Styela clava: one gene and its partner. The protein of the gene in region 2 interacts with the protein of the main gene of each other region in a pairwise test. Links are inferred from orthologs where the notes say so. Each region holds a gene or a part of one and is shown on either strand. Other genes may lie near its edges.

Region 1 (8,258 bases), on a different chromosome or scaffold from region 2:
ATACCAATCCATTTGATAAATAATTTTTATTCGACCACATGAACGCTGATATCCTGAAAATTAATGTTGAAAGAGAATTACGCATTCTCAGATATCGGACATCCAGTCGCGATATTCAATCGTTCATATGCACAAATCTCACATTAATAGTAATTGCTACCCAAATTTGTAAAGTTTAGAAACCAACAAACAGAAAATAACTAACCTAAAACACAATTAAAATTCAGTCGGCAATAAATTCGTCGCCAAGACGATGCCATACAAAACAAAAAAGATTTGGTCGCGAGAGTTACGTGAGATGACTGCCGTTGTTTTTTAAGCAGAATGTAAAAAAAATTATAATTAATAAACGGGAGTTACGACGCCCTTTACACATCGTGTGTATTAAACTTCCCTGGTAAGTACTATTATTATTGTACCTATACACCTGTTGGAGTATTTCGGACAATTTCGAATTTAAAATAAATGAAAACCAGACATATAATAAAGACGCAAAAGTAAAATGAACATTTATTGAAAAAGTTATTATTTAAGGAAGACAACATGATCGTACAATTCCGCCAAAACCTCGATGTTCGCAAGTGAGATGATAAATAAATACTTCCCTGTATTCGATCAATTAACTTTAGCGTATCGTTGTTCTGCCAACAAACAGCAGGGTGCAAAATATTTCCGTCCTGTGATATGCTCACAAATATTCTCGATATTAATATCATACCCTCGCGTATGTACTTTCTATTAGCTCTTTAGTGATCCCTTCCATCCTTGGCCAAGTCATGTTTCGAATATGTGAACATTTTATTCGACCATACGTGGCCGGCGGGATGTTGAAAATTGTAAACAAGAGAGAGGTAAAATCAATCGCGAATTTCGTTATAACGGCTCGTTTACGAATTGTTGCGCCTGTTATCGTCGAAAATGATTACATTTGTTGTATTTTGAGGCATTTAGGCAGTAATAATTAGGGCATGACATCATCAAAATCGTCAAGTGAGATCTTGAAATTGCAAATTCCGTAAATAAAATTGCGAATTATTCGGTAACGAATTCAGCTTTAATGACCGTCGGGGTATTGTTTTGTTGAAAATTATTATTAATGAAAGGTAAAATTTGATCTAAATTAATTGCAAAAATGTTTTATTTTAAATGTAACAAAACACATTTTGCGATATAACCTTTTATTATCGAAAACGGGTGTCCTGAAAAGTAAAATAGGATCTAAATTAATCGCAAAAATGTTTTATTTTAAATGTAACAAAACACATTTTCGCGATATAACCTTTTATTTTCGGAAACGGGTGTCGTGAAAAGCAAAATATGATCTAAATTAATCGCAAAAATGTTTTATTTTAAATGTAACAAAACACATTTTTCAAGATACAACTGTATTTTCGGATACCGGGTGTCATGGAGAGTAAAATGTGATCTGAATTCACCGTAAATAATGTTTCATTCCAAATGTATCATAACGCATTTTTTGCGATATAACTTTGTATTTTCGAAAACGAGGCGTCACGAAAATTATTAATTTAATGTTCTATCTATCGTCTAACTAACGTCTGGAACACATCATTTTCGGGGAGAACTCTAGCCCGCGAAACGTCATTTAATTTAAAATAGAGAATGTTTCACGCATTTCAAAACGGAAAATCACCAGTAAGTGGACAGGGATTCAACCCTCCGGATTCAGTATTCTATATCCCCGTGTCAGAACTTTCTGAAGAATGGAACAAAGAACCCGTCAAACCGCCGCGGAAGAAGTGGAGTATTTTTTGCACTAATAATTAGGGCGTGACAATATCAAAATCGTCAAGAAACTGGTGAATTTGCAAATTCCATAAATAAAATTGTGAATTGCTCGGTAACATTTTAGCTATAATTATCGCCGGGGTATTGTTTGGTTGAAAACACGTTGAAACTTGACGGAATTAGTTACAATTAGCGCCTGACCTCTATTAGGCACTCGAGCACTCGAAAAAAAAAGCACTCGAGCCCAATCTTTTTAGCATTAAGTCGCATACCTAAAATATCCTGCAAAAGAAGTGCTGTTCATTAACGTCATCTCGTCTTACGACCACGCAGAAATGCCTTTATAGCCGAATTATTCAATCACTATTTCAAATCAACATTCAGGATTGGCACAATTTCAGATTTGCGAAGTTTATCACCATAGAAATACACGAGAAAGTTAATTATCGTCTTAATAAATATCTGCATCACGGTATGGACAATAATATTACCATTCACATAAAATTGGGACGGTAAATTTACAAATCTTGATAGGTAATATTAAAGCCAGCGCAAATGTTAATTTGAGTCCTCAATGTCTTCAACAGCTGTTGCCGATGTGAACGAACGGGTAAACCCGAAATATAAAACTTCGATGTCCGCCGACCCACAAGAATTCATATTTGTAAAAAACAGAGGGCGGGAATATAGATTACCCAAAACCTGGATATCGCCGCCAAAACGATCGGTGACAAGAACAATTAGCGATTACAACGGAATTAACCAGTAAAAAGGCTTTGTTGCCGATTTTTTAATGTTTCCACCACGTTTATTCGGTATTCCTTAAAAATATTCGATTTGAAAAAAAATATTGAATTTTGCCCACCCCTCCTCGCATATCAATGAGAAATAGTTGTGTAAATATCGCAAAATTCCGGAAAATGCCACGTCCTTTCAACATTGTGATTACAATAAAATGGCACTTAATGGTATTTTGTGAATTTGTTGATTTTGCAAATCTGTGAAATGCTGCTAAAAGTTAAGTCTGATTTGAAAATCGTGCAGTTTGGTCACAATTCATCCAAAGTGACTATAACACCTTACTAACACTTTTTATAGTCATTTTGAATTCATCGATATCATTGATAGTCACATGACCACTCTAGTTCAAAGAAACGCCCCGAGAGCGTTTTTTGCGGGAGAAGCGGAATCCGTGTGCTTGTATAATAATCATATTATAAACAAGAATTTTGCCGTTAATGCAAAAGCTTCATCTCCTATGTCTGCATCTCATAGGTTAGAATTCCGGTAAATATCGTTATGATATGCAGAATTGAGTTACAAAAGTACTAGTATGTTACTTATTTGTCAACTTAATACTCGAAAATATTTGTTAACTTTGAATTTTTATTCTATTCAAAATCGGAAAAAAGTGCTATTTCTCTTCAAAATCGGAAAAAAGTGCTATTTCGCAGTCCCTAAAAAAAGTTGCGAAAGTGCTTCGCAATTTTCGCAAAAAAGTGCGCTAATAGTGAACACTGCTGATGACAATATGGTCAATGAAGAATAAATGTAGGCCTATGTAGTGAATCGGAAAATGTAAAGTTACAGGAGGAGTCCCGCTTTGAAGTCAAAAAAATATGGTAACCCTAGATAGATACAGTAGTTTATTTTGAAAACTCCATAACACACACAGATTAAAAATGGAGGATTCCGGAGAGCATACAAAATAGTTTAAGACATGATAAATATCATGCCCCTCAGCACACACACAAACCAAATTAAATGAGGCGTGGGCCAGAATTGAACAAACAAAATATGGAGTCTTATGTAGTTTCGTACCTAACATACTTTTGGTGGGCGTATAGTAACAATATTTGCACGTGTCAATCCTAACCCCCACCTGACCATGCCATCCAAAAATTATGTCTCTCTGACGTCACAGTGGCGTAATAGAGCCCTTCAAACTATACGAACCGTCATCCAAAACGCGCTTGTCTGCACACCTGAAATCGAATGGCTACTTCTCTCGTTTTTTCATCTCGACGATCCCAATATGAGAGAGATCACTAACGTTAGTAAGTTCTTTATCGCCGGCACCGATGCCATTTCAGGCGATCGTACGTATATTTGTCAAGCTCTATGACGTGATTGTGATGTCGCAGTGAAGTAATATTTGGATGGCATAGTCAGGTGGGGGTTAGGATTGATATGTCAGAAAATTGTGATGCTACGCCCACTAGAAGTATGTTAGATACGAAACTACACGAGACCCCAAATACGAAATAGTATTTAACTTTCGGGCTGTTGTACTTTTAACACTTACATTGATATAACCAATACAATCTGATATAAAGATAATGTGGGGAGTGCAATGTAATAAACTGACAACAATAGTCATTGAAGCTAAGAAAAACCGAGCCATGAAAAACTACACTGCTATTTGCCTGATTGCTAGATCGGGCATTGCTGAAAAAGGTGATGAAGTGGTATAAGATCAAGCAAACTCTAAACTATGACGGTAAACTCGGTGTACGAACGCTAATAAAAACAATTTTCAGGAAAAACACTAATCACACGTGAACAGGTCTGTAGCCTAATTGATATATTGACGTGGCCAGCATTGTTAAAACAGTATACACAAAGAGAGAACAAAACAAAAATATGCCATCAAATGAATGTTCAAAAACGTTGAGCATTGTTATGGTCATATCAATTTACATTAAAAACTATTTACGCATATATAGTTGAATTCTCATTTAGTATTCAAGTAGAATTTCTAGCACAGTACAGCACCCTATCCAAATTTCAAGAATTTCCCTCCAATTGGCTCAATAAACCAAACACTCTATGTGTCTCACAAACGAGGGGTGTCTGGGGCCACGTCAGATGCGTCATATCACACCATGCTTGTCTCAATAATAATCTAAATTAATCGTGGCAGTCACATGACCAAAATTGCCGTTTTCTGCTAAAAACTCTCGAATGCTCCGGTAAAATTTTTTCTCCTTCGGTAAATCGGATTGAAATTCAACGATGATTTTACTAAATTGCGCTTTTTTGTAGTATTTTTCCCAATATTTCAGTATTTACATGTTGATATTTCTTCGGTGCTGGTTCATTTCAGTCCTTCTGCACCGCTGAAAAATGCAACTGCACCGGATGACTGCCAAACGTGTAGAGATGGTAAAATGATTCATTCACAGATTAAAAAAATTAATCAAATAGCGAATAATGTATAATAATAATTATATACCGGTAAGTCTGTATGTGTTTTTTCAATAACAGTTCAATTTTGCTAGTGTTATAATAATTTATAAAGTAAAGTAAATAACAATAAAAATGCCAGACTATTTGGGAGATGACCAACGCAGAGTCCGTGACGATGAAAATAAGGACGAGAAACCGATCCAAGCTCTGGATGAAGGAGATATCGCACTCCTGAAGACGTACGGACAGGGTCCGTATGCGAAGCAAATCAAACAAGTTGAAGATGACATCATAGCGATTACGAAACGTGTTAATGAGCTCACAGGAATTAAAGAATCGGATACTGGACTCGCCCCACCGGCTTTGTGGGATCTTGCCGCGGATAAACAAACGTTGCATAGTGAACAACCATTGCAAGTAGCCCGATGTACGAAAATTATTGATGCTGACACAGATAACGCCAAGTATATCATCAATGTGAAGCAATTTGCGAAGTTCGTCGTAGACCTTGGAGATCAAGTCGCTCCAACCGATATAGAAGAAGGCATGAGAGTGGGGGTAGATAGAAATAAATACCAAATTCATATCCCGTTACCCCCTAAAATAGACCCCACTGTTACCATGATGCAGGTTGAAGAAAAACCAGATGTAACATATTCGGATGTCGGAGGCTGCAAAGAGCAAATTCAGAAGTTACGTGAAGTAGTGGAAACTCCCTTGTTGCACCCTGAACGTTTCGTTACACTTGGAATAGATCCTCCAAAGGGGGTTCTTCTTTTTGGACCCCCAGGAACAGGGAAAACGCTCTGCGCGAGAGCAGTTGCTAATCGTACGGATGCCTGTTTTATTCGTGTTATTGGTTCCGAGTTGGTACAGAAGTATGTCGGGGAAGGAGCCAGAATGGTTCGTGAATTATTTGAAATGGCTCGTACTAAGAAAGCATGTTTAATTTTCTTTGATGAAATTGATGCCATAGGTGGCGCTAGATTCGACGACGGAGCTGGCGGGGATAATGAAGTTCAACGTACAATGTTGGAGCTCATCAACCAATTGGATGGATTTGACCCGCGTGGAAATATCAAGGTACTAATGGCAACGAATCGGCCTGACACTTTAGACCCAGCGCTGATGCGTCCAGGTAGAATGGACAGAAAAGTAGAATTTGGGTTGCCAGATCTTGAAGGCAGAACCCACATTTTTAAAATCCATGCACGGAGTATGAGTGTCGAGCGTGACATTCGATACGAGCTTTTGGCTCGTTTGTGCCCAAACAGCACTGGCGCTGAAATTCGCAGCGTTTGCACTGAGGCTGGAATGTACGCTATTCGTGCTCGAAGAAAAGTTGCAACGGAAAAAGATTTTCTGGAAGCTGTCAACAAAGTGATCAAGTCATACGCAAAGTTCAGCTCAACACCAAGATATATGACCTATAACTAACTGTGGAATTATGTTATATGGATTGTTGACTATATTGGAATTATACAAAAAAAATGTTTTCAAAAAATTCACATCAAATTGACGTTGGCAATAATATTAATGGATATAATTATAGAACTGAAAACTTACAATTTGCAAGTTATATTGACATTGTCCATTTAGGTTTTTTTAAAAAAAATTATTATTCCAGTCATATCAGGATAGTAATGTAAGGTTAATTAACTATCTAGGTCACAGGTATTTTTACCTTCTGGAAGTGTGATATTGCTGTTAACACTCTCTTAGTCTATCTATTTATGGCAATATCATTTGTTGCCTATGGGATGGGCTTGATTGTATTGTTGTGTAGGGCTGTATATGGAAATGTTTAGAACAGTGGTTCCCAAACTTTTATGGCTTGTGGCCTCTTCCCAGAGGATCATGGCCCCCTGTTTATTATTCCAGTGGTATTTGTAGTATTATTTTGATCCCAAATCTCGGTATGGTAAAACAGATGGAAAATGGGTTGTTTTCTAGTAGAAGAAAATGTAAAATCAGTTTTGAGTCTGGCAATGTGGCCCCCATCCAACTGCTCAGCCTGTCTGGTCAGAAAAAGTACCCTTTTAGTCTACTAGATATTGTCGTTATTATTCATTAATGTCAATATTATTCGTGGAATTGCAAGATTATGTTGGTATTGAGGGCTGTGTTTCATAAGTAGGAATGTTTGGATTCACATTTGTTACGTTTGGTTTGCTATTTTGGACAGTTATTTGAAATGAGCATGTTTTAGATTTGGCTGGTAATGTTAATATTATTTTCACATCAGTGATGATATTCTGCATCTGAACTATTGATGAATTTCTTACAAGGCCTGTGTAACAGTTTGATTTAGTGGATTTCTCTATTTCTCAAAGTTTGAAACAATATCCATCAAATTATTTCAATAAAAAGTTTGGATAGTTCAATTGAAAGTCAAAAATTTGTGTTTCCTTATTTCCTAAAAACATATTTTTCAAGTTTCATCTGTTTGGATTGAAGGCTGAAGCCCTCAATTTACTTTTAATGTTCCACTTGCGCCAAGTTTAACAACAGTGACATGCTAATATCTATAGGCCCTGGAATTTCATTTTCATTTCTGTTATTATTTGGTATTTAAAAGATGAAGGATCTTGTTTTTACTTCTTGCAATTTGTGCATTTATATCAGTGGTTCCCAAATCCGTGGGCTAATTACGGCCAGCATAACAATTTAACATGGCCCGCTGAACTTGAGTAAAATAGTTCCACACTTTACGTTTTTATCCTTTTGCGTTTTAAATATCGCAGTTTGAGCTTGTGTTTGTGTATATTTGTAATAATTCAATTATATTGGTATCTTGGTTGTACATACTGGTATTGGGATTACATAAATGTCTCACACTTGCTCTTTCCAGGCCCACAATATCCTTCCGCTTCTAATTTTGGCCTCCTGTCAATCAACTTTGGGAACAACCACTAATTTATATGTTTCATTTATGACAATCCTGGAAATTTTTCATTTTCTGTGCAAGACCTATTGGTGTATGAACTTGAGCACGGGCCATGTTAAATCAATATGTATTTGTATGAATCCATTTGGTCACCTATTTGATGCTTTGTTTTGTATTATTAGTGGCTGCTAGTGGGCCTTCGGCTGCTTGTACTCAGGTTGGATTAGGTAGAATATAAAGTGAAGTAGCTACTCCAAAAATCCTTCAAGGATACAGCCTACATTTGGAAATCGGATTCGAAAATTCTGGATAATCATTTAGAGCTAAATCAAAGCCAAACGTCTACCTTCCCAATAAAAAACTCTGGACACTTGAGGCAGCAGGGATGCCTTCAACGGACTCAAGTCAGCAGATACCAGCGTCATCTCAAACT
Region 2 (7,692 bases):
CTCTTGCTAAAAGTTCTCGAAGTTGATCATTATAATGTTCCGTAATAGTTTCTTCAACAGCTACAGTGCAAGCCATTGCAGCTTCTTTCCCCATAAGGGCAGTTCCAGCACCTAGTACCCATCCTGCAACATTCCATACTGGAGTTAATACAGTGGGACGCACTCTATGCTTAGGTATAAGTTCATTAAATTTTGCTAAATGAACTTTTTCTTGTTCCCACATTTCTTCAATGATTGGGCCGACATCAGTTTTACGTAAAATAGCCAGCTGTCCAGCATATATTCGATTGGCACCAAGTTCCCCTGCATGATCGACTCTGATCATTCTATCATACATAGCTTTGGTTTGTGCATCCTTAACTTGACGAGTGCATGAAGAGGTACAAAACGAACTACTCCTCAGTATGGAACAGTATTTGGTTAAACAACCACGATTTATTATTAGAAGCATGACTGATGAAAATTTAAACCATTCAATGTGACATTAGATATAAACAGGAGTTCTAAAATGAAAGTTAAAATAAAAGTTACGGTAGATTACGTATTGCTACAAAAGACATTCTCTGTATTATGACACTAAAGGCAGCATTAAAACGCAGTGTATTAGCAACTTAAATAATGATGATTTTATTATATGCGACTTGAGCAAATTATACCGCAAAATCTTTTGGAATATAGCGCAAAGATCAGAATAAATAGCTTTGAAAATATGGCCAAATAGCAATGTTCAAATATAAAGACACAGCCACATGGCATCATTTTTTTTAAAACCTGTTCATATTAAATCAAAAAATGCCTAGAGTAAATATGACAAAATTGAAAGAGATATTTTTGAAGAAGAAACTTTCGTTTTCAACTGCGAATATTTGAAATTGAGTGATCCAGCAGATAGGAAGAAAATAAATTTTGGTCCCAAACATAACTTTCAAATCAACTTTGTGTTCGATAATACATTCGAAAAAATTTATACAAAATTTGCAATATTTCTATAAGACTGATCACCCATCATTAAATAATGCATGGTATGTCCAAACTTCAAACATATATTTTATTGTCCAAAGTGTCATGACATAGATCCTGCTGTCATATTTGATTTAGCATTGCAAGTTGTCAGGTTCCCAGCAAGTTTATGAAAAATATGCAGTCTGTGGTCACCATTTCAGATATGCTGATTCATAAAATTTTTGATCTTTCGAAACACGACAATCAGTGCATTCAATTGCTGCTTGCAATTTGCAACGAATCCCGTTTTGAGTTTAAGTGAGCAAACACCTTATAACAAGGTATTATTAATGTTACTACATTAGGTGTTATAGCAGGCGGTCATTAAACGTAAAAGCAAACACAGAATTATCACAAAAATAATGTTTCAGATGGGCTCAATTATCTCAATCTCAATTATAGTTCACTTTAGCTCCTTATCGTAAGGGCGAGGTGTACTTAAAGCTCAAGCTAGTACTGAGCATATTTTTTAAGATGTTTCCATTGCGACCTCAGGACTGACCATCTCTTCATATAATGGTCCTTCAAGAACATAAGAACGAAACTTTAAATAATTATTGTTGCCAAAGATATGCATGCATTGGGGAGATTCTGCAATTGCTTTTACTGCTTCAAATCTTGCATCTTTAGATTCTTTATTATTATCAGACGATCGATCGAGGATGAATTCCACAAAAGTGGGGAACTCAACCATAGCAGCCATTCCAAACTCTAATTTCGCTATAGTTTTTATCAAATGAAATCCGGCACATTTTACACTTGTGAAAGGCTGGCGACATAAAAACAAAATTGCATCAATGGGAGATGATGAGATGCAACGAAACCATTGTGCCAATAAAGCTACAATATCTTCAGTCTGATCCAAGGGAGCTATATCCAATAACTGGCACATTGCATTTATAGATATCAGTCTCAAATCGCTTCCCTCTGTGCATATAATCTTTCCAATTTCAGTAATTGCCGCTTTGGTGCGGTTTCCCTCCTTTGCAAGAACATTTTTGCCCTCCATGCTTTGTCCAATGAATCCCAAAGTTTCAATTCCAATTTTTTTCTTCACCAAATCAAATTCATCAACAAGTGAAAACAAGGTGTCCAAAAATTGTGGAAAAATTTGTATAACATGCTGTGGTCCTTCTTGATACGACATTTTTCCAAAAAACTTCACAATTTCTGGCATATATAAATCGGCCAATGGATCAGAGGCAACATTTGTAATCATTGATATCAATTTGTTGACAACTCCATTCTTATTCAAGTATTGCAAACTGTGTTTCCTGAGTGCCATTTCAGACAAAGTTGACACGCAGACAACTTTAATTAATACATCATCTCCCATCAGCTCATTAACAAGATTGCGAAGCAAACCAGAAGAATCACAAACAGATAAATGTTCAATAGATTTAGATTGAATTTTCACAATAACATCATATCCTCTGTAACGAACGTTATCATTCTTTCTCATCACTGCCTGAAACTTTTCCAGCAATTCTCCTTGAAGAAGAAATTTTGCTGCATTGATAGAATATGACGCAAAATCAGAAAGAAACTGGACTGCAGAATGAGCTATTGACATGTCATCATCCCCAATGAGTTCTATTACTTTTGCAATGACATTTTTGCCTTCCATTAACGCACGGTTGCCTATATCTGTTACGCAGCATTCCCGAAGCTCACCGAGACATAAATGTTGGACGGAGCTGTTGGAATGATTCAAACCATTCCATAAATGCTGAGATAAAACTTCCAATTTTGCCCCAACATCAACTATTGGCAATAATAGCTTCAATATGAAGATAACAGCTGAAATTTGTTCTACATTTTGCGTATCGAAACAAGCAAAAAGTAAAGCAATATCCGGAGCTGTTATTATTCCCTTCAAAGTAGTGGGCTTAACGTTTACTAAGTAAGTTTTTCCGTCCAAAAGGGCAGCAAGACGATTTTCATCATATTGAAGTCTTTCGAATAATGATTTAACTGTTTCCATTATAAAATCTAGAGATAAACACACTTAAGGATATTATAATGTGATCGGAACCAGAATAATTTAAAAAAAATAATCAGACAAATCGTAGGACTGATATATATCTACAAAAATGTTCAGAGTTTACTCTATGCTGAATGAAAATCCAGCTAGGTCTATAATATAAACTCAATATGATACGATACCCCAAAAAAAACTATTACAAAGTGAATGAAGGAATATTTATTCATATCTGAAATGTCGTGCCAAGGGTATATAAACACACTACAACAGTCTCCTATATTTCAAAAAGATCAAATATGAACACTAAAGCAAAATCAAAAATTAATGATAAATGACCAGTCCTAGATGAAACTCTGAATCAATAGTTCAAAATTTAATATTTCCAATTAAATCCAGCTTGCAATGAAGGTATAGGATCAAAAGCTAATGCACTGGCTTTGATAAGCTTTTTTTCATTTTTACATCGATTAAGAGGATATGTGCATTCCATCAAGTCTGTAAGTTCTTTCGCACACACTTGCTGGACACGTCTATGATTATCTGCATTGTGCAGACGACAAATTTCCATAGCCATGACTTCGATGTCACACTTATCATAAGCTAAACCAGGACGTTGCCAATCATTTTCCAGTGGACGCATTTTTGGCCAGTTTTGAAGACCTCCGAATCCAGTTTCAACTAATTGTTTCCAGTAGCCAAATTTTTCTTCTCCCTCCTTTGCAATATTGCCAGTTGAAGTCCCACAAGAAGACATTCTGACTGGATTCCTATTTTAAACCTTACTATACTAGTATAGAGAAAAGCAATGAAAAAGTATTAAAGTATATAATGCCACAATATTATGAATAAACATGGTACGAATAAATATGGGACTGATTATATGGGTATATGCAAACTTGTTTCATATTGGGTCTTACTATTTGCGGAAAAAGGGGGAAACAAAGGGAAACTGTGCAAAACTGGTAACAGGTATTTGCTGTTTCCCTCTGCCCTCTGTTTTGAGCTATTCACTATGTTTTGCAATGTTATGACTTTATTTCAGTTATTCCACATTCACTTTGAGTTTTGTTCATATGTATTATTATATAAATACATAAGGATTTATAGAACATTTGTGCATAGTTCTGTAGTTAGGGTTACATAGGTGTCACAGATTATTGAAGTCATAAATTAAATAGTCTCATACCATCATATCGACGCATCAAAACCAAACAGTGCTAAGTCCACTTTTCCCAAAAACGACATTTTCCAACTGCTGATTTTCCTGGACTTAGCTCTACATTTTGGTCTATTTGCCTTATCTCTAGGTGCTCTAGATCTCAAGATAGCTATGGACATAACCCTGCTTTTTTTAGGGCATTTGAGAACTAAACAGAGCTGTGTCTGCTATAGTGGACTTAGCTCTGGATAACTGCATTGTAAGTCGGTGCTAAGTCCGTTTTTTGGACATAGCTCCTCCCAAAAATTTGAGTTAAATATAATAGAAAGCGCTAAGTCCATACCAGCTCTCAGTCATAGCTCAGTGTTAGCTGTTTTTTATGTTTACAGTAGAGGGAATGAGAAAGTTATTATTCATTGCCATAACCACTTTCCAACTGCTGTTTTTAAATTATTAAAATTTACATAATTATGGAATTTTCGAGTCGGAAATATATCTTTCAAGCAAAGCCAAGCAAAGTGTGAACCAGCCAGAAGACTTTACTCAGTTACGATATCCCATCTGATAAGAAATCTAACCAGAATATGATTGTCTCAGTACATACAAAAAATGAGATGCAGTCCGAGAAAAGATACTAAGACTGATCAAAAACGTAATCAGGAAGTCAACAGAGTCTACACTTTTTTAAATCCAGAAAGCAACGAGTTGGTGCAAGTGTGTAATAACTTTTTTTAGATTCCCCCGAATATAAGCAAGAAAAGGGTGGAAACATCACTGGTTCACTGGAGAAAGATATGTGAGGAAGATATGGTGACCACAACAAAGTCACCAGGGAAAGGCAGGAGCCATTTATAACTCATATAAAATTGTTTCCAGTTGTTGAATCACATTATTTGAGAAAAGACAGTCAGTGGGAATATCTTCATGAGTATCTGACTGTACGACAAATGTATGAAATATATGAGATTTGGTGCGAAGAAAATAGCTCTGCAGTTGAATCATATGATTTTTATTTACGCATATCCAATGAAAAATTCAATCTTAAATTTCACCGACCTAAAATAGATGTGTGTGATCAATGCTTTCAGCTTTCAAAAAATGCAAAAATCTCTATTGACTGACGAAGATTTCGAAAATCAAACTAAGCATATCCAAGAAAAGGACATGGTGCGTTCAATGAAGAGGGAAATGAAAGAAAAAACCACAACAGATTCTTCACTTCATGTGGCAGCTTTTGACCTTCAGAAAACTCTTCTTTGTCTTTGTGGACAAGTGTCCTCCTTTTACTACACACAAATGCTGAAAAATTTCAACTTTACAGTAACTGACATTCAGTCCATGCACAAGAGTTGCTATCTTTGGAATGAAGTATAAGGGTGAAAAAGCTCTTGTAAAATAGCGACTGCAGTGTTTTGATACCTGTCCTCTCTCACCACAGCAGTGAAGACTGTGCAACTTTTCTGTGACCGCTGCAGTGGACAAAATAATAACAGAGCTATGATTGTGATGTTACTCTATGCTATAGAGGAGCTGCATTTCGATGAAATAACACTTAATTTTCTAATTACAGGTCATTCTCAAAATGAGAATGACACAGCCCATTCGGTGAGGAGCTCTTTTAGAACTCTTTGGTTCTAAAGTCAGCAAGACCAGCAACACAAAAAAGACAGAATATAAAAGAGTCAGCAGGGAGAAATACAAGAGTTTGACAACATTATGTAATAAGAATTTAATCCCTACAAACCACAAGGCATTCTACGAATTGCTTCCAGTAATTGATGAAAGTTAGATTTCATGAGCAGAAACACTAGCTCAAACTTTTGTAAAATTAAAATAATTTAAAACAGTTTTACATATTGGGCTTGATTTAATTTTTTTTTATTTTTCTTGACCATTCCTGATTGAGAATTTACAACAGTTTCTTTCTTAACTTTGTTTAGTAATTTAGTTGGCAATGGTTATGAGAAGGAATATAATATAAAAAATGCAGTAATCAGTAGCAATAGCAGTCTGATAAAAATTGGATGCTAGATAACTATTGTCAGCAAGATTCAGGAGCAGAAATATTTTCTAACGTGGAGATAAGCTCACAAAAAGTGTCAAAAACATTGTAAAAGGGAATTATTGACGTTTATCAATGACAAGTTGCCTTTATAATAGCATAATAAAGGGGCCCTAAGTCCAATAAAAAAATTCTGGTTCAGAAAATCGAGAGCAAAAAATGGCCCAGGTCCAAAAAACTCCCCCCCAAAAAAATTTGGGGGGCAACACAAATTTTTTTATACCACTCAAATATGGCCTTCATTGTAACTTTGGTGGACCATAAAAACTAGACATCCTCGATGTAAGGTATTAGAGAAATAAAAAAAAGAAACAAAAAAAAAACGTTTTTTGCGTTTTTCTCAAAACTAGAAAAATGGACTTAGCCCAGTTTGGATTTCATGCGTCGATATGACTGAAAAAATCACAGGGATGAGATGTCTGTGAGGCCAATGGTCTGTAAACAGTAAACCTGCTGAAACACAACATCAATTTTGCAATTTAAAACACTTGTACGACCCATGCCACACTCAAAAGTTTCATCATCAACACAATATCAGAATGTTTGATCATTGCCACTGCGGAAAAACCATAATATGATCCATTTCCAGATCAATTTTTTCTTAAAAGATAACATACCGCCATATTCAGATACTTTATTCCAAATAATGGCCCTAGACCCGGCAGCTTTCCATAAGTAGACCAACTTAAAATGTAGTTGCAAAGATCACTAAATTTATTAAACTTATATACAAAATACAGAAATAGGGGTATTAGTTCAGAATAAAATATCTTATTAGTCAATAAAGAGTCCAGTGTGCTTCGTGCGAACCCCTCCAGCCCTCTGAATCTCGACAATGATTAATTAAGTCTGCAAGCACATTATAAAAGTCCAAAATTTTAAAAATTCACTGTGAGGGTGATAAATATTTTTAATTCGCAATAGTGAAATAGATGGACAGATTTGGCAATTTTTGATACTCCTATCACCAAAGTTCACGCTTGGTGCGCTCGATAAATTATTGCAAGAATAGAATTATTATCGAAAATTAGTTTGTCCCATCTTTGTCGAAAGTTGGTAAATAATTCATATCTGCTTTAATTGGAACCGGTATACAGGTAACTTTATAGTTTATACTTTATATTCTATATCCTGATATCTGTTCTATCTGACTGTTGTAGGATTATTTTCGTAAAGCAGTATAGAGTTGATTGATTCTCATTTGAAGGCTTAATCACGTTTATGTTCAAATCTCGGAAAGGTATTTTTCTTTTTATTCAATAAACTTTATTGAGAAAAAATAAATTATAGTACGGTTATAAATATGTCACTTTTGGGATAAATTCTTAATCCCGATCAGACTAACTCAAATTTATTTTCGTTCTAATCAGATTACGGTACGTTTTGTACATAGTGTAAATAGCTTTTTATAAATAAGAGTTCAATAAAAAAAAGATGACCGTAAATGGTCGTATCGTTACCTCCCTCATAACTTTTGTTCCACTC

Evidence for each region.
Region 1: the proteins of 26S proteasome non-ATPase regulatory subunit 5-like (region 2) and 26S proteasome regulatory subunit 7 interact in binary tests that used the Homo sapiens proteins (3 or more experiments, as listed by UniProt). The link is inferred for Styela clava from reciprocal best matches to the Homo sapiens genes PSMD5 and PSMC2.

Annotation. Positions count from the first base shown.
Region 1 is NC_135261.1:464,171-472,428, forward strand, and holds 26S proteasome regulatory subunit 7, read left to right. Parts: upstream 1-5,000; 5' UTR 5,001-5,070; coding exon 5,071-6,375; 3' UTR 6,376-8,007; downstream 8,008-8,258. Other genes in the region: dnaJ homolog subfamily C member 7-like, read left to right, coding at 8,211-8,258.
Region 2 is NC_135263.1:5,458,066-5,465,757, reverse strand, and holds 26S proteasome non-ATPase regulatory subunit 5-like, read right to left. Parts: upstream 2,995-7,692; 5' UTR 2,987-2,994; coding exon 1,472-2,986; 3' UTR 502-1,471; downstream 1-501. Other genes in the region: NADPH-dependent 3-demethoxyubiquinone 3-hydroxylase, mitochondrial-like, read right to left, coding at 1-451. UniProt on the Homo sapiens protein: Acts as a chaperone during the assembly of the 26S proteasome, specifically of the base subcomplex of the PA700/19S regulatory complex (RC).